2 linked regions of the Astyanax mexicanus genome follow. The protein of the gene in region 1 binds, or shares a complex with, the protein of each later gene. Links are inferred from orthologs where the notes say so. Each region holds a gene or a part of one and is shown on either strand. Other genes may lie near its edges.

The links. Proteins that work in one complex are often made in the same cells at the same time.
Region 2: surfeit locus protein 1 (region 1) and cmc1 share a complex: the UniProt entries of both Homo sapiens proteins name them as parts of the MITRAC (mitochondrial translation regulation assembly intermediate of cytochrome c oxidase complex) complex. The link is inferred for Astyanax mexicanus from reciprocal best matches to the Homo sapiens genes SURF1 and CMC1.

What each region holds. Positions count from the first base shown.
Region 1 is NC_064408.1:16,897,247-16,907,971, forward strand, and holds the start of surfeit locus protein 1, read right to left. Parts: upstream 3,971-10,725; 5' UTR 3,844-3,970; coding exon 3,781-3,843; intron 2,178-3,780; coding exon 2,108-2,177; intron 1,651-2,107; coding exon 1,523-1,650; intron 1,432-1,522; coding exon 1,349-1,431; intron 1,130-1,348; coding exon 938-1,129; intron 1-937. Other genes in the region: surf6 (surfeit locus protein 6), read left to right, coding at 4,460-4,556, 5,935-6,162, 6,261-6,343, 6,863-7,576. UniProt on the Homo sapiens protein: Component of the MITRAC (mitochondrial translation regulation assembly intermediate of cytochrome c oxidase complex) complex, that regulates cytochrome c oxidase assembly.
Region 2 is NC_064408.1:130,760,384-130,771,319, forward strand, and holds the start of cmc1 (COX assembly mitochondrial protein homolog), read left to right. Parts: upstream 1-5,880; 5' UTR 5,881-6,004; coding exon 6,005-6,023; intron 6,024-7,510; coding exon 7,511-7,603; intron 7,604-10,936. UniProt on the Homo sapiens protein: Component of the MITRAC (mitochondrial translation regulation assembly intermediate of cytochrome c oxidase complex) complex, that regulates cytochrome c oxidase assembly.

The DNA.
Region 1 (10,725 bases):
TTGAAGCTAGGTAGCACAGAGTGAACAACCAAGCTTGATATTGATTCATTTTAGCTGATATAAACTCAGAATAGTGTTTGTATTTCCAGCTACAAAACGTGCAACTCTCTCCTCACTTCAGTTAGCAGTGTTCTCAAGTCTCGCGCTTTGAGCGTGTGACACACGCACCTCAGCGAGTTCACACGCTCATACGCCACACATGGTATTTCTCACGCTTGCCAATCCATCCAGTATATTATAATGTACTCTTGTTGAGCCAATCAGAATATAGGTTGCTCTGTTGTTTTTGCTAGGCAGACCTAGTCAAAGAGGGTGGAGTTTCAGCCAGAGTGTGAAGAACTGTCTGATTCGAAAGTTCTGAAACACACGTCGGTGAACAACTGAAGTAGAACGGCGGCAACACCGCCCACTGCGCACACTGTGTTCAGCACTAGGGCTAGTTTTAGCCTGTTAGCTTGTTAGATCGCTAGCCTTTTGTTAGTTCCAGCAATGAACGTCGACTGCAAATCTTTCTCGTCCATCCTTTTAACACATTCAGCCAGATGCTACAATATCTTTTTACTAAGGAAAATGACAAAAACGTAGCGCACAGTGACTTGGGTACGTAACTTTAATCCTATTACCTGATAAGAAATAGCAAAGCGTTAGATTACTCGTTACTGAAACAAATGGTCAGATTACAGTAACAGGTTATTAACATCACTGCTTATAATAGACATCACTGGGTACTTGCACAATACTATGATTTCTCCTATAAGTACTGTCTGTGCTAAACTCGCTATATGCTAACATTTAGGTTGAAACTGCTGGCAAAGACTTTAAAATCTTGTGCATGTTGGTTTATTAGTGGGGTTACTTGTGTTACTTGTAAATGTATGTATTTAAGGCAAAAATGTCAATACAGGTTTATGCTGTATGTCTGTGTGTTTGTACACACCCAAGGTCTGTGCAGTTGAAAGGTGTGATGACGTTAGCTCCAGTCTCTCCACTGGAGGACAGCCTTCCTGCCTCGCGGGCCTCTCTCTCAGGGTCCACTGGAGAACGGGGCAGGATGTACAGCTCTTGAGAGTGATCAAACCTGCCACGCACCTTCACACGCCTGTACTCCAGATCCTTTAGCTCCATAGGACTGTCACATGATCACAAACAAACACAGGCTACATCAATACATTAATAATACAATCAAATATCCGTCATCACTGCCACTCTGGGACTATTCTAAAATAGGTAATCATTTTTTATGTGACTTTCTTTGTACCAAAAAATGTATGCACTATTACTAAGTGACTGACTCTCCAACTACATTGTCTACACCTATAGTATGGCATGGGCCAAAGAGGACACTCACTCCGTGGGCAGTGGAATCGGATCTGCTGTCGTTAATTTCTGGAGATCTTCAATCAACTTCAACTTCCACTGCCTGCGCTTCACCTACAAATATACATAAATACACATTCAAAAATGCAGTTTAAATATCTGAGCAACCACCATTTTAATCATGGTAAACAGCAGCTGAGCGTACCTGCCATGTTCCCAGGCCGAAGGTGGTCACAGGGATCAGCAGCAGCAGCCATTTCAGCAAGGAATCCTCACTCTTTTCTGCCTGTGCCGCATCCACACTGGTCTGTCTACTCACGTTAACAGGTTTAACTGTGAAACCCAACAGAAGATGAACAGACAGCTACTGCAGTGTTCATGAATATTACAGTTAATCTTTAGTATGTGTTGAAACACTGGTGATTCTTCTCTAGTAGTAAATGCATTTACTACAAAACAAAAAAGCATTAAACCAAGTATATGGATGCTGTAAAATACACTACTCATCCTGTCAATCAGAAGTATTGTCTCATTGCTTTTAAACATTAAGTGTAATTATAAGCTGTCCACCTTAATTTAGCAGACATGGCACACTTGTCAAAAGAAGCAGCAGAATCATAACAAAGAGTATAAATATTTTAGCACATAATATCAATATCAAATCAAGTGAAGTTTATTTGCATAGTAACTTTTTGCAACTGCTCACAAAGCAGTTTGTAGAGAAATCTACAAGTAATAGGACAAGAGATTAATAATTCATAAAACATAATATATAAAACAATATTCTTACCATTCTCACGTTTGAGCAAGACTTGCCTTGATTTATCGAAAATATTTCTCTTGGAAATGACAGTCTGAGTCTAGAAAAAGACAAAACAATCTGATTTACAAATACTGACAAAAGCAAATAATATACACTGACTAAAATGAGTGAAGAACAATTATTGCAAGCAATATTCTGATTCCAATATTAACTGGCCTTTGTCTTCAAATCCCACAGGCTAGTAAACAATACATTTTCTAAAATTAACTCTTATTCATTTTAAATTTTTGATTGCAATATAAACCTAAATAAAACAAATACAGTACCAGTCAAAAATGTGGACAAACCTCTTCTCATTTGATGTGTTTTCTTTCATTTTATAATTTTATTTACATTGTAAATTTAATATTGAAGACATTAAAGCTATACAGGAACACATGGAATTGTCTTGTAAACAAAAAGTGTTAAATAAACCAGGGTATGTTTTATACTTCTTCGATTCTAAGTAGACATATTCAGCTTGAGGACAGATCTGCGCACACAGTTTTCTCTGCATCTTGAAGGAGTTTCTGTTGGTTCTGAACAATAGTTGCTGCTTTTCCTTCAAACTGTAAAGCTCCAGCTCAGTTGGGTTTAGGTCAGGGGATTGTGAAGGACAAACACTTCTTTTGTTCACAACAGTGTAGAAAACATTGAATCAGAAGGTGTGTCCAAGCTTTTGACTGGTACTGTACTTTCAGTGCCTAAATGATTTACATTAATGATTTATTGAAATGATTTACAATAAGCAGCATAACTGTATTAAAGTATTTTCTGGTATTCTAAACTCAGCACCTGCACAAACTAACGAGACTGTCCAACAACTGCTGACTGCAGGATATTTCTGAACAGAATCTCAACACAAGCCAGAGCTAGTTTGTGCTTTTCCTGCGGTATAATTTTTCACATCCCTCTATCCCTCTGTTCTTACACCAGTGGTAACTAGCTTTATAATAATTATTATTATTATACGCTGCCTGGCCAAAAAAAAGTTGTCACTAAAAAAAGGACTCTGTGGTGAACAATCCATGTGTGAAAATGATGATCTCATGCTCCCTGAATCACTCTTTCACAATTCCAGCCCATGAATCCTGACATTTTCATCTTGGAATATGCTCGTGTCATCAGGAAAGAAAAAAAACATTGATGGAATAACCTGGTCTATATTCAGTATATTCAGGTAGTCAGCTGGCCTTATTCTTTCAGCACATACTGTTGCTGAACCTAGACCTGCAGACCAACTGCAGCAATTGAACCCCACATCATTTGCACATCTTTTTTTCAGCTTCATCCTATTCTGGTCTGCTTGGCCAGGCTTTTCCTTAAAGTAGTAGGAAATTAATTAATTACACTAGAATTGCAAATTTATTTGGAATGAATAAGTGATGGAACATATAGTATAGAAGATTAAATTGAATGACATGTTGTATATTTACAATGTTAGTAAACAGATATTCTGCTTTCCTTCATTAGTTAGTTATCTCCTTCAGTAATAGTGTATTAGACTTTTAAATAATATATGTGCATGTTCCCTTTAATTCAGTGAAGCGGTAGTAACGTTAGCAGCGAATAAGAAAAAAACTTCAGCCTCTCTGTCTTTAAACTGGAATAGTGTTTTATTATCAGTAAATAATGTTTATAAATGTGAAACAGAAACTTACATTAATCCGGATGATCCTGCGAGCGTGACTACAGAACATGAGCATGTATTTAAGGCCACTCATGTTCAGGAGAAATGTCTAAACTGAGAGTTATGCTGGATTATATCTATCTGTTTGGTGTCAGTAGTAAACAGGTCAAACCGCCTGCATAACATGTTCTCCACAGAGCGGCAGGCGAGGGGACGAGTTTCACTGTAACACCATCCGGAGACAGGCGTGTGCGGTTGCGCATGCGCGGTGTGAAACACATGGGCAGGAGGAGCTGTTGAGTTAGAGCAGTTGTTGTTGCAGAAACGCTGTTTTTAATGTTCAGATCGAGCGCAGATTAAGAATTCCGACCGTTTGAGTGAAAGAAGAAGGAGAAGTAGAAGAGGAAATGTGTGGCAAATCCTTTCTAATTATTCCCTCAGTGAGAAACTAGTTTAATAGCTGCCAGTAACTGCTGTGGGATATTGTGGGATAGTTAACCTAGCTGAGCTTGGCTTTGTGGAAGGTAAGTTGATCTTAGTAACTTAAATAAACATTAATCCAACGCTCTGCTCTTACTTTGTAGGGTCTCTGTGTTTAAGAAATATTATACAGTCATCTGTTTTCAACGTGTAATGTTAACCTAGCTAAGTGTGATCACACGTGGCTGATTGCATGATTGTGTTGTGTATTTTGTCCAGTTGCTGCAAAGATGTCCTCAAGCCTTGCAGCCAAGTACGACTACCTGGAGAAGCTGACTCGAAAAGTGTGCCATTCCCAGACCGAACAGACCAGACAGAGACCCTATGGTACGCTTCTATTCTTGTTTTGCAGTATGTGGTATGTGGTCATATATATACTCTAAAAATTCACAGCTCTGCATATTTGTGTGTTGTGCCTGCTTTAAATCACTAGTAGGAAGCAGGGAAACACACTGCCATAGAAAAATCACCTTTTTGTTTCCTAAAGAACTATGGGCTTTATGGGCAGTCATACACTGGCTACACTGGCTGTCATAAGTGGTTAGTGCAGTGCAGTGCATAATACCACTAACTTCCAGTAAGCTACCTACCACATTGTCTGGGAGACTGGGGTTCAATTCCCAGTCTGGGTGACTAAATGCTGTTCTACACCAATAAGAGTCTGGAACAAGACTCCTAACTTCTGCATTGGCCCACCTCTGTAATAGGAATAACCTTGTAAGTCGCTCTGGATAAAAGCATCAGCTAAATGCCGCAAATGTACATTTTAGAGCTTGATCATGCAGATTCATGATCTGTTTTTAATTAGTTTATATAATTAGTAAGTTCATAAACCTAAATATTTTGGACTTCCCATCTTTTTTTCCACATATCTCATTCACCAGCCATTCTTAAGAAGAAATGTCTTAAAAATGACTTATCCAGCTTCTATCAAAATACTTATAATTATCTCTAATAGCAATATTAAGCTGTTGTTAAATTTATCATTACTGTTATGCAAACCATGCACCTTCAAAATCTTAACATTCAATGGAAGTAAATATAAAAAAAACATTACTAATTATTTTGAAGAATGTTGTTGGTCTATTAAATAGGACATTGTAACACAATGTAATTTGCTTGATTGACTGTGATATACATACGTTAGTGTTTTAGAACTTTGATCTCTCAAGGTAACAACAAACATTTACATGTAGTTCCAACAGTGACTAGAAAACAAGGTTAGACTGGTTGTGGTAAGAAGGCAGTTGTCAATTTTTCTCCTCTATAATGTTTTTCCATCTCAACTGTCCTGCTATATTGTAAGAAGACAGGGTTATACATTAAGAAATAAAATGTTTGGCATTCTTGTCTGGAAGAGATCTGTCTAAAGTCGTAGCTGAAGTCAAAAATACCTTATTCTGTTAAAACATTTTTGTAACAAACTGGGTAGCCATTGAAAAAAATGGTCTGACTCTAACTTTGCTCTCTCTAACTGCTTTCTAATGCACCCTGGTTGCAAAGACAGGCAATTTTGGCTTTATTTCTGTAGAACAGAAGGGAAGAATGCACAGCATTCAGGTTGTCTGCAGTTGTTGTTTCTTGAGTATATTTAACGAAAAAAAATTAGAACAGTTAAGTGAATTAAGAGTCAAGCTTTATTTTCCAGCTGTTATTAATTATTCATTATTAATTTATTATTCATTCCTCTGTTATTTATTTTCAGTTCCATTTCGTGCTCGTAGTGGTGGTGACGAAGATGGTGACAGTGGGCCACCTAAGAAGAAACAAAAGAAGAAACAGAAGCAGATCAAAGGAAATAATGTAAACACAAATGATAAAAAGCCAGCCCCAAAGACCATCCAAAAAGCAGCACAGAAACAGCCCATCACAGAACAGAAAGCTCCTCAGGCCAGAGTTCAGAATGGGAATCAAGCCCAGAAGAAGACACATGGTAAGTCAAAAGTGTGAATTTGAATTGATCCAGAATTATTTCTGAAGCATAACAGAATTCCAGTATCTTTATTAACACATTTTCTTTAATTCCTCAAGGCACAAAATCAGAAGGCGAGTTTAATGCAGTGGATATTTTAAGGAAAAGACTTCATCAGAAGATTGAGGAGTCTCGTGGGCAGGTACCAAAATAAACACACAAACCCCCTAATGAATTTGTAGGACATGATGATGTTTTGCTTAAACTCACTTTGTTAGTTTTTTCAAACAGATTAGAATTTACCTTATTAAAGAGGATTTAATATGCAGAATTAGGAAATGTTTTATTAATGATTGTAAGCACAAGCTGTGCGTTTACACATTTTTTTATGTCATCAGCCCAAATATGAGCAGATCATGAGTGTGAACAGCTTTCAATTATCTTTAGTAAAGTAAAGTTTACTTTTTGCTCAATCAAAACAGACTACAACACAGCTGTCAAGTAGGCAGGGTTTAAGCACAACACTAAATGAACCAATGTCTGCCTCCATTCTTTACATTAATTAATGATGAAGAAATTCTGTTGTTTTGAGCATTTATACTGTATAGAAATGCAAAATACTGGGATTTCTTACACCCCTAATTTTCCAGTACTCTGGTATAAATAACTTGTATCTTTTGCTTATTGTAAGCCTCTTAAGTCTCTTATTTTCTCACTTTAGGGTCCACCCAAGGACCCTTCCTCAGAAGAGGTGCAGAAAAGACGAGCGAAACGGAAACAGGAGAGAGAGCGCAAAAAGCGGAAAAGGAAAGAGTTCCGTATGAAAGCGTTGGCGCAGAGTTCTACCACTGAGATAAAAGAGGAAAGCGAACCGGTGGAGATAACCACACCTCAGTCTGAACCTGCTGAATCCAAATCTGACAAGAAGGACACAAGCACCTTGGTCTTCAACAAGGTGGAGGTTGAGGATGATTATGTGGATAAAGGGACCAAGATGAGGGAGAAGAAGAAGAAAAGGAAAGTGAAAGGAACCCTCACTCCCCTCATAGGGAAGAACTACAAACAGCTGTTAACCCGAGTAGAGGCCAGGAAGGCCCGTCTGGAGGAGCTGCGGGAGAAGGATGAAGGGAAAGCAAAGAAGGAAGAAGAGAAGATGAAGTGGACCAACGTTCTCTACAAGGCTGAGGGGATGAAGATCAAAGATGATGAACAGCTTCTACGGGCTTCGCTGAAGAGGAAAGAGAAGATGAAGACCCAGAGGAAGAAAAAGTGGGTGGAGAGGAGCGAGAATGTGCTGGAGAAGATGCAGCAGAGACAGGACAAGAGACGCAGGAACATTCAGAAACGCAAAGACAATAAAATGGAGAAGCGGCAACAGAGAGCCAGGAAGAAGGGCAGAGTGCTGCCTCAGGATCTGAAAAAGGCTGCTCTGTAGAGATTGATATAATGGAGAAATTGGACACGTATGGACAGAGATTGAATAAATTCAGGAGCGTACTTAGAAAAGGATAAAACTATAAAGAGCATGAATCAGAACGGTGATGGTGACTTGAACAGAACAGTACAAATGGTTCCAAACAGTTCAGGAATCTTAACTTCTAATGATTGATTTATACTTCTGTCTTCTGCAAGTTAGCACAGAGTCTACTGTGTAGTTGTGAGCGTTTATACATGTGCATAGGTCTGTCTGCAACACTCTACAATGTTCAGCTGAGCAATTACAATTGCTGTATTCTGCTGTTTCTTGGGAGGTGCATGTCCAACTACAACATAGGCTATTTGTAGGATATACAAAAGGTGTGTAGTGTTGAAAATAAATTGGTCTATACTTTTACTAAGGTGTGCTATGTCTCTGTACAATTAAATGCAGTAAAGTAAATAATGGAAAACCCGTTTGCCCTATTTATTGCACAGCTGCTGTTTATTTGCTTAATTTAGAGCACAATGGTAAATGTATAATGAAGTGCTGAATGTACAAAGTTTACAGTACATTTCATGTTGTATGTAATTCTTGTTCACTCTATCTAAAATCAACAGGACATTTTAGTAAACTTAATATTATATACATTACAGTGTCGGCTCAAATTAAACCATTTAAAATGTTTAAATGGCTATTAGCCTGATTAAAATGTTATTCTCATAGGTGGGAATAGACACTTTTGTATAAGATATTTCATGGACTCTTTTAAAGAAAGAATTGCTGTTGTGTATTCTGAAAGTATTTGTATTTTTTAATGTACTATACAATACATTGTTTTTATAATACTAATTATATTGCAAGTTTATCATTTTTTTAATCTTGAATATGAATCTAAAAATGACTTCTTCCACAGACAGTGATATCTTTTTGTTTTGTAAGGATAAGTAAAACATTTACGGGTGCATCTAAAAAACATTTTTACTTTATTTTAGTAATTCAGTTCTAAATGTGAAACATATTATATAGTTGTATTACACACAAAGTGATCTATTTTAAGCATTTATTTCTTTTATTGTTAATCATGGCTTACAGAAAATTAAAATATTATGTAAGACCAATTGGTACTTTTGGCAGTGTGCCAAATCCTGCTGGAAAATGAAATCCGCATCTCCATAGAAGTTGTCAGCAGAGGAAATCATAAAGTGCTGTAAGATTTTCTGGGAAAACACTGCACTGACTTTAGACTTGATATAACACAGTGGGCCAACCCTAGCAGATGACCTCTCCAAACCATCACTGATTGGTGGAAACTTCACACTAGACCTCAAGCAGCTTAGACTGTGTGTCTCTCCATTCTTCCTCCAGCCTCTGGGCTCTTGATTTACAAATTAATGCTAATTAATTATGCTAAATTTACTGATGATCAGTGATGGTTTGGAGCGACATGTCATCTGCTGGTGTTGGTTCACTGTGTTTTATTATCAAGTCTAAAGTCAGTACAGTGTTTTCCCAGAAAATCTTACAGCACTTCATGCTTCCCACTGCTGACAACTTTTATGGAGATATGTATTTTATTTTCCAGCAGGACTTGGCACACTGCCAAAAGTTCCATTTGGTCTTATATAATATTCTAATTTTCAGGGCCCAGTTTCCCAAAAGTATTTTGGCATTAAGAACATCTTAACATAGTGCTTAGGGTGAAGTTTAAGAATCATCTTAGTGCTAGGAACTTTTTTTGAAAACCCCAGTTTATTTAAGTAACTGAGGAAAGAATCTGATGCCTCCTTTGTCTTCCAGAATAAAGCTCAGTAAGCATTATTTTATTCTTTCTGTTTAGAGATGTGAAGAAACGCTGAATGCAGCAGTGTTTAATCATTTTATACAAACAAATGTGCTAATGTGTCTCAACACAGGACTGTCAGTACCAAAGACATCATTTATAAACCTGACCAACCAGTAAGCTCAGTAACTAGTAATGCTAGCTTAAAATCCCTTTACTGAAGAAAAGTAGAAATATATAGATATGATTACTTTGCCTTTTTTTTTTTTTTTTTTTTACAAAATACATTATTCTATTGTCCAACAATTAATTAATAATTGGCTGTTGGATATTATATTTTATTTGAGGTTTTAGTCCTTTAGCCTCCTTCACCCCCATTCATTTTGGACTTACTCGCGGGCTCCCTCCAGCGGTTTTAGTCGTTATAGATATTAGGGCAAGGGTTAAGTAGTGGACGGGCTCTCCATAAACCAGCTCTGGCTCTACCGCATAGATACGTTTACTCCGCCTCTACAGGCAGATCTGCGTCCAAATCCAAATACTGCGATGGCAAAGAACCTTTAGAGAGGAGATTACCCACTTAAGAACCTTTCAGAGGGCGTTCCTGAGTAAGCTCAAAATGAATGTGTTCATATGGAGCAATTGAACAAAATTAGTTTATACTTGTTTAGTAATTTATTAATAGAACATGTATTCACTGTTTGAACACAGAACAAGGTCCAGTGTTTTAACACTGTAGTATTTGTTTTTAAAGCTTTTAAATTCTTTTTATAAGCCTTTTAAGCATGCTTAAGTAGTAAAATGCTGTATCTGCATCTACTTGAGTATTATTTTTACTCTATTACTGTACTTAAGTACTAAAATGCTGTATCTATATCTACTGGATTATTATTTTTACTTCACTACTGTACTTAAGTACTAAAATGCTGTATCTGTATCTACTGGAGCATTATTTTTACTTCACTACTGTACTGAAGTACTAAAATGTTGTATTTTATCTACTGGAGTATAATTTTTTCTCCTACTTCCATTTTTAGTTCACTACATATTTACCATAAGTTTAAGAATTTTACTCTGATATATTTTTATGTGCTGCATTGTTACTTGTTATAATTATAAAAATGATAGGAATTATTCCAAATCCACATTATTACTAAAGCCAGAGTGGTATATGTTCGGCACTGTCACTGGGTTTGATAAAGCTCCTTATCATTGAGTAAATCAAGAGATCAAGCTGTTCTTATAAGAAGACCTTGCTGCTCTCATTCTGCCTTTATCACGGCTAACTTTCCACTGCTTTCTGTAATAACTACACTAATATCACAGTACTGTACTTTTACTGTCAGTACTTAAGTATTACATTTTACAATAACCAATTTGCTAT
Region 2 (10,936 bases), about 110 Mb from region 1:
GGTAAATCTGCACTCCCCACAGAGTATTAGCTTGGTTCCGTCCGTCATTACCCTCTGATACTGCTCTGCTCTGTTCTTAACATGGAAATCATGGAAAAATAATGGAAAAAACACATGGAAAATCTTCTTTACTAATGTAATGAAGGTTTGGTCACACTTAAATAATAATAATAATAATAATAATAATAATAAAAATAATGTTTTATTAATAAATTGCCTTTACTGAAAACTCAAAGCCCATAGCAAGCACAATAATAGCGCAGGTAAAAAAAAATGACATATCAGCATAAAATAAGAAAATATTTAAGAATATGGGAGAGAAAAGAAGAGTCTCTTTGATTTTACCAAATTAAAAACCTCTGGAATATAATCAAGAGGAAGATGGATGATCAAACCATCAAACCACCAAACTGAACTGCTTGAATTTCTGCACCAGGAGTAAAGCAGCATAAAGTTATCCAAAAGCAGTGTGTAAGACTGGTGGAGGAGAACAAGATGCCAAGATGCATAAAAAAAACTGTGATTAAAAACCAACCAGGATTATTCCCCCAAATATTGATTATTTCTGAACTCTTAAAACTTTATGAATATGAACTTGTTTTCTTTGCATTATTTGAGATCTGAAAGCTCTGCATCTTTTTTGTTATTTCAGTCATTTCTCATTTTCTGTAAATAAATGCTCTAAATGAGAATATTTTTATTTGGAATTTGGGAGAAATGTTGTCTGTAGTTTATAGAATAAAACAACAATGTTCATTTTACTCAAACATAAACCTATAAATAGCAAAATCAGAGAAACTGATTCAGAAACTGTAATTAGGTAGTAATTGTAAATAGTTTTTAACCTGTAAAAACCTGTATAACTGTAATTACTCTGTAACAAAGGCAACAATGTAACTTCACGGGTAGTTACACTGTTATTATGGATTATTATGGATCGTTAATGCGTGACTACATAGAGTTACTGGAGATACTGACTGTACAGTGGGTTTACACCCAGTTTTACAATTTATTTAGGTTTGATTAGATCTGATGTGAGTGTGAACAGGTGTGAGTGAGTGGGTGTGCACGGTGGTGGCGAACGTGAGCGTGCGGCTGCAGGTTTGTTCTCATGAATTAATAAAGCGCGTGAGCGGCCGATCAAACGCTTCAGCAGAATCCTTATAGGGTTTAATGGAAGATGGGAGTGCCATCTGTGTGCCGCCCGGGCCGGAGCCAGGGCACCGTCTTTAGCATGTGGCGTGAGGGGGACGAGGGGCGGGGTCTGCCGGACAGTTGGGCGGTCGGCGGTTGGCCGGGGCGCTGAGCCGTGCTGTAAAAGGGTTTAACTTTGCTAACCTTCACCGTGCCAGCCTGCCGGCACCTGCTGGCACCTGCCGGACCCTGCTGGCACCTGCCGGACCCCGCCGGAGCGGGATATTGCGCCGGGGAGATGTTGGCAGGCTTTGACGAGTCGCCGATGTGATGTTATTAGATTCTCCGGTGCACTCTGACCCCCCCTGCTGGCAGGGAGGATCAGGCGGTAAATGAAGGTGAAGGTGAGTGTGTGTGGGCAGGTGTGGCAGACCCTCACCTGCCGGGAGGGACTTGACTTTTGTCGGAACCCTCCGGATGGTCAGAGGCTCCAGCTGAGACCTAATTAACCTCAAGAGGACGGGCAAAACCGAAGCGTCCCCGATTTTCCATCATCATGTTCCTGAAGCAGTGCGCATTAGTACAAGTTTACAATTTAATATACAATTAAATACAGTATAATTGTTATTACAATATATTGTACTCAATTATATAAATAAAGACTTCTTAAAGATTTCTTGTGCAGTTAACTCATAATCTGTTTTCAATATCTGTTGACGGTAGGACTGCAACTAATGATTATTATTAGTAGTCGACTAATCTGACGATTCTTTTTTTGTTTCGATTAGTAGATTAGTCAACAATTATTTCTATAGAAAAAGCAGAACATGAGATTTAAATAGCATTAAATACCTGAATGTTGTTTAAATGTGGAAAGTACTGATATTTAGTGATTAAATATGTAATCTCCCATTTATCTCCCATTGCGCTTCTGTCCCCAGCACTTTGTGTAATGCAGTATTTTTGCAAATTAACGATTAGTCGACAATTAAATTTATACCTAAATAAAATACCTTTATATGGGTCAATGTAATGTAATGTAATTCTTCAAGTAGTTGACACTCAGAACTCAGAAAGTTTATCACAAACCGTTGCATGGATTTGTTCTTTTTTTGCTGGCCCTTTTGTATTTCAGTGTTTAATGGAATATATTTAGTCAGCTTAGGGTTAGTCAGGAAAGTGAGTTGAAACAACCTTTCCACTTCCATGTTTTATATGTCACTACAACTCAGTAAAACAATAAATGACTATAAAAATCCTACCAAATTCAAATAACTTATTTATTTAAGTATTGGCCAAAGGCCCTCACAATTACTTTTTAGAGACATGTAAAAGAAATAATAATTTAATATACCACTTCGTTGGTATTGAATGTTGAATGTAGCTTTGACTCCTAAAAGAAAAACTCCTCAAATCATTTTATGTCCCTATATTGTATTGGATGGACACATGTGGGCACATTCTATTTAAAAAAGAACATTATAAAAATGAAAGGGAAGTAAGGTGTAATAACCATGCCATAGAAGGTTAAGATGCATCTGCAGGAAGAATGGAACAAAATGACACCTGGACCTCGTCATCACGTTGTATTTTAACTCTGTGGAACTTTTATTTGATTGTGTATTTTATTGAAGGTGATGCGGTGTAGAGATTGGCGTGAGAGGACAGGGCTTCAGGCTGGTGAAGATGGTGAAGATAGTGAAGATGACACTTCAAAGGGTTTATTTAACAAACAGGAGGAGGAGTAACCGCAGGCCGGCCGCAGCTCCTCGGGGTGGAACGTTCCGGCGCTCTTTCCACTGCGGTGGTGAGCTCTCGCACGGCTCTCGCGCAGACTCGTGGTCGGGTTTGAAGTGAAGCTGTGGTCGGGACTGTCTTGAGTTGGGTAGACTGAGTGTAGCAGGTGCAGAGAGCAGCTGCCTGAACCGTTTCCAACACCAGAACATGCTCAGCGGTACCCCCCAAAAACACCAGGTATACCGGTAAAACTCTACTGAGTACTGAGTACTGAGTACTGAAACCGAGGTTTAATCCCAATTTTATAACTGATTTTAACCCAATTTCCAGTCAGTCTGCTTCCAGATATCAAAAACCACTCTTAATCGTTCCCATGTTCATCCTAAGACGTTTGAGCCAGCACCCCGGTTGCTGAGTGTAATAAGGCAATAGACCCGAGATGCACATGCCAACACCCCGGTTGCAGAGTATACTGTAGTATAGTAAACTCCAGCATGCTAAGTATAATACAAAAAACATCCCAAGATATTTGAGCCAACACCCCGGTTACCGTGCGTAATAAGACAATTGGACCCCGGTTGTTGAGTGTAAAATAGGAATCTGTCCGAGTCGTTTGAGCCAACACCTCGATTGCCAAGTGTAAAAAGAGAATTGGCTCGAGTCGCATGTGTCAACACCCCGGTTGCTGAGTATAATGTGGCAATCAGCACATCTGTTAGTCCCAACAACCTGATTGATGAGTATAATATAGGAATCTGCCCAAGATGTTTGAGCCAACACTCAAGTGTAAAAAGATAATTGGCCCGATCACATGTTTCACCACCCTGCTTGATGGGTAAAATATGGCAATTGTCCCAATCCACCGCCCCGGGTGCTGAGTATAATATAGAAATCTGCCCAAGACGTTTATTCAAACACTCTAGTTGCTGAGTATAATATTACAATTGTCCCAAGTCGTCTGTGCCAACACCCAGATTGCCGAGTATAATATAATAATCTGCCCAAGCCATTTGTACTAACATCCTGGTTGCTGAGTATAACATGAATCGACCTGAGTTGCATGTGCGAACACCCTGAATGCTGACTATAATATAGCACTCATCCCAAGTCGCATGTGTCAACACCCCAGTTGCTGAGTATAATATGGCAATTGTCCCTTGATGTTTGTGACAACACTCCAGCTTGCTGAGTGTAATATAGAAATCTGCCCAAGCCTTTTGTACCATAGACTGTGTATAGCTGAACAGAGCATTGTCTCTCAAAAGTGAAGCCACCACAGGTCGGGCGCCCCCTGCTGTTCGGTTGCAGAAAGCTTTTTAACCCCTTTTTTTCAAATATACTGTAATTCTACCTCCATTATTTAAATCTAACAGCTAGTGTAAGCTCTGCTTATATCGCCAAATGTATATATCCCCACAGAATTCGTTTTTTAAATGTTATTCAGCTCAATTCAAAAAGGTGTGGTTATTGTAAAAGGGCTGGTTATGGGCGGGACCAATAACAGATCGTCAGCTCCGCTCCGCTCTGCAGCCTGTGACCTCGAGGCAGCCCTCAGGGGCGGAGTTATTCAAATGAGTAGGCTGTCTCTACACAGTCTTTCTCCCTCCTCTGGACTCTACTGTGCAGTCTCGGGTATGGCAACATGGCGGAAGATTTTGGCTTCGTTTTCATTGAATGAACGGGAACGGCGACACAGCGTCCATCTTTTTTTACAGTCTCTGGTTTGTACAAACACCCTGGTTGCTGAATATAATATGGCAATCAGCCCAATATGTTTTTGCCAACACTCCAGTTGTGGAGTATAATATATGAATCGACCTGAGCAGTATGTGCCAACACCCTGGCTATTGGATAAAATATGGAAATCGGCCCAAACTGCTTGCATCAAAACACCAGTTGGCAAGTAAAATTTGGCCCAATTCTTCATGGCTAATACCAAGTCTCATCTGATGCTGCTTTACATCAGATAAGGCAGATCCTTTATGCTATCTGAACAGATTTCAGGACAGTTGGAGTTACTGTCTACCTTATTCAATATCTTATTATTTTTTATTAAATTATTTAAACAACCAGAACTGTAATTTAACTGTCTTCATGAATGTGCCTTAAGACATCCCAAGACTTGGTGATGGCTGAACAGGTTGTAAATAATTTATTATTTATTATTTTGTGCGGCAAACTGTGATTTTTAAAAAATATTTATTATGGTTGCGCTTTGCAAAGCAATGTTAATATCATAGCAACCCCTAGCAACCAACACAGATACCATAGCAACACCTCAGCAACCCCCTACCAACCACATAGCAAGGTCACAGCGACCGCCATAGATTTCATAGCAACAGCTTAGCAACCACCTGGCAACATAATTGCAACCCAAAAGAAACCACTTAGCAATGCTATAGCAACCACCACAGAAACCATGGCAACAGCTTAGTAACCACCTGGCAACACCTTAGCAAACACCTGGCAAACACTTAGCAATGCCAAAGCAACAACCACAGATACCATAGCAACTATTTAGCAACGCCATAGCAACCATCACAGATAGCATAGCAACCACATGGCAACACCTTAGCAACCACTCAGAAACGTCATACCATGACCTGGGATACCATAGCGACCAACTGTAGTCGTTTTAACTGGGCATCAATCCTGCATTTCAGTTCAGTCATTCTATTACTAATTCTCTTTAAGTAAATCAACATTTTCCCAGCTCTAAAAACATTTGTGCTGTAATTTAATATTTTTCAAAACATGAAAAATATATAATTTTCTAGTCACGAATTTTAGGGGTGACTTTTATTTTGAAAAAAAAAAACGCATTGCAAACGGTTATTCAATTCTATATTAATATGTGTATTTGATATACATGTACTATTTATTTCTCTAATAAATGATTATTTTTATGTAAACAAATATAATAATAATAATAATAATAATAATAATAATAATAATAATAATAATAATAATAATAAAGGACTTTTATGAAGGACTTTTATTGGTGGCACTGTGGGGGCGCGGCTTCGCTGGAGCAGCAGCAGCGGGGTCACATTAGCTCGCGGCTAAAGCTAAAGTCTGGTGTTTGTTGGTGTTTTTCTGATTTATTATCAGTTTTTAGTTTATTAACAGGCTCATGGACTCTTCTAAATCAGGTAAAAATCACCCGAGCTGCTTTTCTTCACAGCGCTGCTGAGAAAACAGGATATTTAGCGGGAAAATGAGCTGAAGTTAGTTAGCATTTCTGTACTTTAAGGGCAAAGTTGGGCTAAAAGAGCGAAAATCGCCTGAATTCGAGCTTAAAACACACAGTTTAAACATGAAACTGATATTAATAATCAGTTATTTCTGTCATAAAGACGAGTTTAACCTGTGTGTGCTGTTATAAAGCTAAATATCTCCTTATAAATCTTGTTGAGCTGTTATAACTCTCCGTTCCACCTTAAATAGTGCAGCAGTTACATACAGCGTGGCTGCAGCATTTAAGGTGGAACGGAGAGTTCAGCAGTGTTTAGACAACTTAGCTTTTATTATTATTATTAAAATAAATTAAAAATCATATTCTCCGTTTAAATGACAGTTTGGGGTCATTTTCAACCTAGAAAAGGGATTGTCAAAATATTGGAAACACCCCCACGTTCACTTGGTGTTTCTGTTATTTTGTCCACCCAAGTATTAAACGTACTGGTAATGTAGCCAATTACAATTACATTTCTTGAGTTAATTTTACTCATTTATTTTTTAAAGTAAAATTACAATATGGAAATATTGTTACGTTAAAGTTTTGGAGTTCATTTTAATAGAATTTCAAAAAATGGCTATTGTTTGAGTGTCTCGCATGGTGTTTCTGTTATATTGGCCGCACACCTCTAAAACATTTTTGTAAAAATGAAAAAAAGTCATATTAAAATGTCATTGGTTAATATAATTTTATTTGATTTTTAGTGTCAGATTTAAATTACATTCTCTTGCCAGTGTTTGAATTTCATTCTCATATTAATGAATGATAGATTTTTTAAAATAAGTCTCTGAGAACTTTATTATCAAATGTTAATCATATTATAATTCTATTTAGGTTAGTTTTATCAGAACTTAATTTGCAAAGTTGAATTTAATCTGCATTTTATTTGCAAAGTTTAATCAGATCCCTAGCAATATTACATCTATTGTTGAATTAAAGTTTCAGTTCTGAAGTTAATTTAATTTCAATTTCAGTTTCATTCTTAAAGTATTTTTTGTTAGAAATTCACTCTCACTCTTAAAATTACACCCACACAATCTGCCAAAGTGTTTGAGTTTCGTTCTTATGGTAATGTAGGATAAACTTTTATTTTTTAAGTAATTGTTTTTAGGTTTTATAATTAAAGGTAGGTCATATTAAAATTTCATTCAAAGTAAATGTTATCAGAATTTTATATTCAATGGATAATTTTAATAGAATTTCATTTTTAATTGTTAATTTCAGTAGAATTTTATATGCAATGGTTAATTTATTGCAAATTGGATTTGCAAAGGTAATTCTAGCAGAATTTCATGTGCAATGGTTTAATTTTACCAGAATTTTAGTTGCAGTGTTAATTTTTGAGCACTGCCATGTATGTTAATCAGTGCAGTTATTTAGTGGGCGGTTCTGTTTTCTCAGGTGAGCCTCACCTGAGGCACGTGGAGCTGGACGTGCTGATCCCGAAGATGATGAGGGAGAAGGCGAAGGTGCGATGTTCTGAAGTGGTGGAAGGTATGGAACCAAAACCTCACAGGATTAGAACCCAGAGATTCTAGAACATAGCGGACCCACCGGTGCTTACTACTGGAGTTTATAAATCCATCAGCAGCCGGAGTCTGAGAGAGAGAGAGAGAGCAGTAGATCATGGTGTTAATGTTAGTAGGTTTTATTGCTGAAATGAAACCTGATAACCAAAATTTTATAGCTTTTTAATTTTTTTTATTTGTGTATACTGTGTGTAGTGTGTGTGTCTATACTGTGTGTAGTGTGTGTGTGTGTTTATTCTGTGTGTAGTGTGTGTGTATACTATGTGTGTTGTGTGTGTGTAATAAACACACAGTGACATTTAGATCGGGATGTTCCAGAGTTCAGCGTTTCCTATAAACAGCTCAGTTTCAGCTCTGTGCTCCTCAGGATTCCGCCAGTCATCTCTGAACCCGTCACCCTGCCGCAGATACCATCGCTGACGTTCCCCGGCGCCGTGGCAACGCCGACCTTTAGCACCCCGACCCCGTGGAACACCCAGAAACCACGGCGCTGTGTCTGGAACTGTGTTACGCGACCTCTCGTGGAGAACTAGAGTAACTGTGCCGCAAAGTCTTCTTCTACAGCTCTGCTGTATTGTAGTCCGAACTTGTGTTCGTCCCGTTAGTTTTGGTTTCACACTGCAGTTTAGTGGTTGACACGCTGAAAAACTTTACTACCTCCTGTCAACATCACCTACGAATGTGGGCGGAGTCTCACTATACTCAGCACTGATTGGTTTGTAGAACGATCCAAGTGAATTCTGTCCCTCTACCAGAATGCGTCTCTCTTCGAGCACGGGTCACTGTCTTGTCGGAAGACCCATTACCTAGAATGCAAACCCATCTTTCTGACACTGTTATATACAGCTCTAAAAAACATTAAGAAACCACTTCAGTTTCTGAATCAGTTTCTCTGATTTTGCTATTTATAGGTTTATGTTTGAGTAAAATGAACATTGTTGTTTTATTCTATAAACTACAGACAACATTTCTCCCAAATTACAAATAAAAATATTCTCATTTAGAGCATTTATTTACAGAAAATGAGAAATGACTGAAATAACAAAAAAGATGCAGAACTTTCAGACCTCAAATAATGCAAAGAAAACAAGTTCATATTCATAAAGTTTTAAGAGTTCAGAAATAATCAATATTTGGTGGAATAACCCTGGTTGGTTTTTAATCACAGTTTTTTCATGCATCTTGGCATCATGTTCTCCTCCACCAGTCTTACACACTGCTTTTGGATAACTTTATGCTGCTTTACTCCTGGTGCAAAAATTCAAGCAGTTCAGTTTGGTGGTTTGATGGTTTGTGATCATCCATCTTCCTCTTGATTATATTCCAGAGGTTTTTAATTTGGTAAAATCAAGGAAAAACATCATATATATATATATATATATATGTGTGTGTGTGTGTGTGTGTGTGTAAAAAAAATAAAAGTTGTCACAAAGCAGCTTTACGGAGAAAAACAGGTCCACACCTCTTACTTGAGCTAGTTACTTATTACATCACTGAATTACAGCTGTCGGTTCAGCGCTAGCTAGGCTAACAGACTGCTGGTGTTAATGAAGATGGCTAACAGCTAACTAGCGATGCTAACTGTATTTCCTAGCTAAATGAATCACTGTTTTCTTAATCAATTATGTTGAAAACAGCCTTGGTTGAAATGTTATTATATCACAGTGGGGTTCCACGCTTCACTCGCTCTGATTGGTTTAGACAGGAAAACAATAAAGGTTTGCACTATTGAGAATTTAGGTCGCACATGCCACGGATGCACCCTGAGCCTGCAGGACGGGTTGAATTTGTTCGTAACTTGATTGGGGCTGTTTATAGACCACCCAGACTCTCTTACAGTGCATATTTTATCCAGGTTCAGGGTGGTTAGCTACAGTGCCGTGATTTGGTGCAGCGTTTAAGGTGGCCTCAGGCACCAGATTGAAATGGATGCAGCGTTTAAGGTGGACTGGACAGTTTCAATAAAGAGTCTGCAAATAATGAGCCAAAATGCTTTGGATTACTTTAAAGGAGAACTGTGTTGAATATCTCTCCTCCGCTCTCCTGCAGCTTTCTGACATCCAGTATTTTCTGCTCTTTACCCAAACAGGCTTTAGAATTGAATGAGTGATATGGGGCATATTTTACCCTGCAGATAAATCACTTTTTACACCGTTATTCAGCTCAAAGTAGCTCCACACTTCACTGGTAGAATCCAGAGAGTTTTGACATTTAAAACGAGGCATTAATAACTTAAAAACTGCACTAAAAGTTTATTAAAAACCTCTGTTTACATCCCATAATGTAAGTAAATGCCTGGGCGCAGAAATCTTATATTTGAGTCACAATAAGTCAACCTGTTGTTGCAGAAAATATTCATATGAAATGTCGATATTAAAATGCAAACGTTTTACTGTTCGTTCTGCTCGACGGATGAATTATTGTGATTTAACCCCTTCTATTTATGTTCGTTTGTCAGATCTAGCAGTGGTGTTTCTCATGTTAAAATATCCAAAAGATATCTGATCCATTACTAATTATTATCAATATATTTAATATGTAGTGCAATGCTGTTCCTACCCTCTAACAGGTAAAGGTTCAATAAGATTTTTTTTAATCGATTTTCATTAAAAAATACACGTTCAAACTTTTTTTTTTTAATATTTAACTTCTTTAACCAACATATAAAACAATAGTTTTACATAATATTGAAACCTAACATTGCAGTTTAGTTTTAGTTTTAGTTTTTGCAGGGAGTTTTGTAAAATATTTGAGATTAACCATTTTCATAATGTTTGTTGATTGCATTAATTAAGGCGAGCAGAAGACGTTTAATACTGAAAAAAATACTTTTAACTATATTTTTTTAATCTTCAAACTTCAAGACGGCTCAATTTGACCCGTTAAATAACAGGAGGGATAAATTTAAGATGGCGGCGCCGGAGATTGACCTGCGCTATGTGATGTAAAAAGTGTTTTTTAACCCTTGTGTGGTGTTCGGGTCTGTGGGACCCGTTTTCATTTTTCATCAAATGATACTAAAAAAAATATTTTTTCTAACTCAAACTCATTGGCATTGGCTCATTTTTTGTGAAAAAACATATATCAAACACATTTTCAATAAACACACACTGTACACCCCCCCCCCCCCCCCCCCCCTACACATTTATATTACATACAGTATGTTTGGCCAAGGGCTAATAAACATTGCTTCATTTGTAAAATTGAAACTAAACAAATTTTCTACTCATATCTTGAGTTTAATTCATTTTCTTTTACATTTTATTAAAAAAACTAATAAAAAAAGAGTAGCACTTTT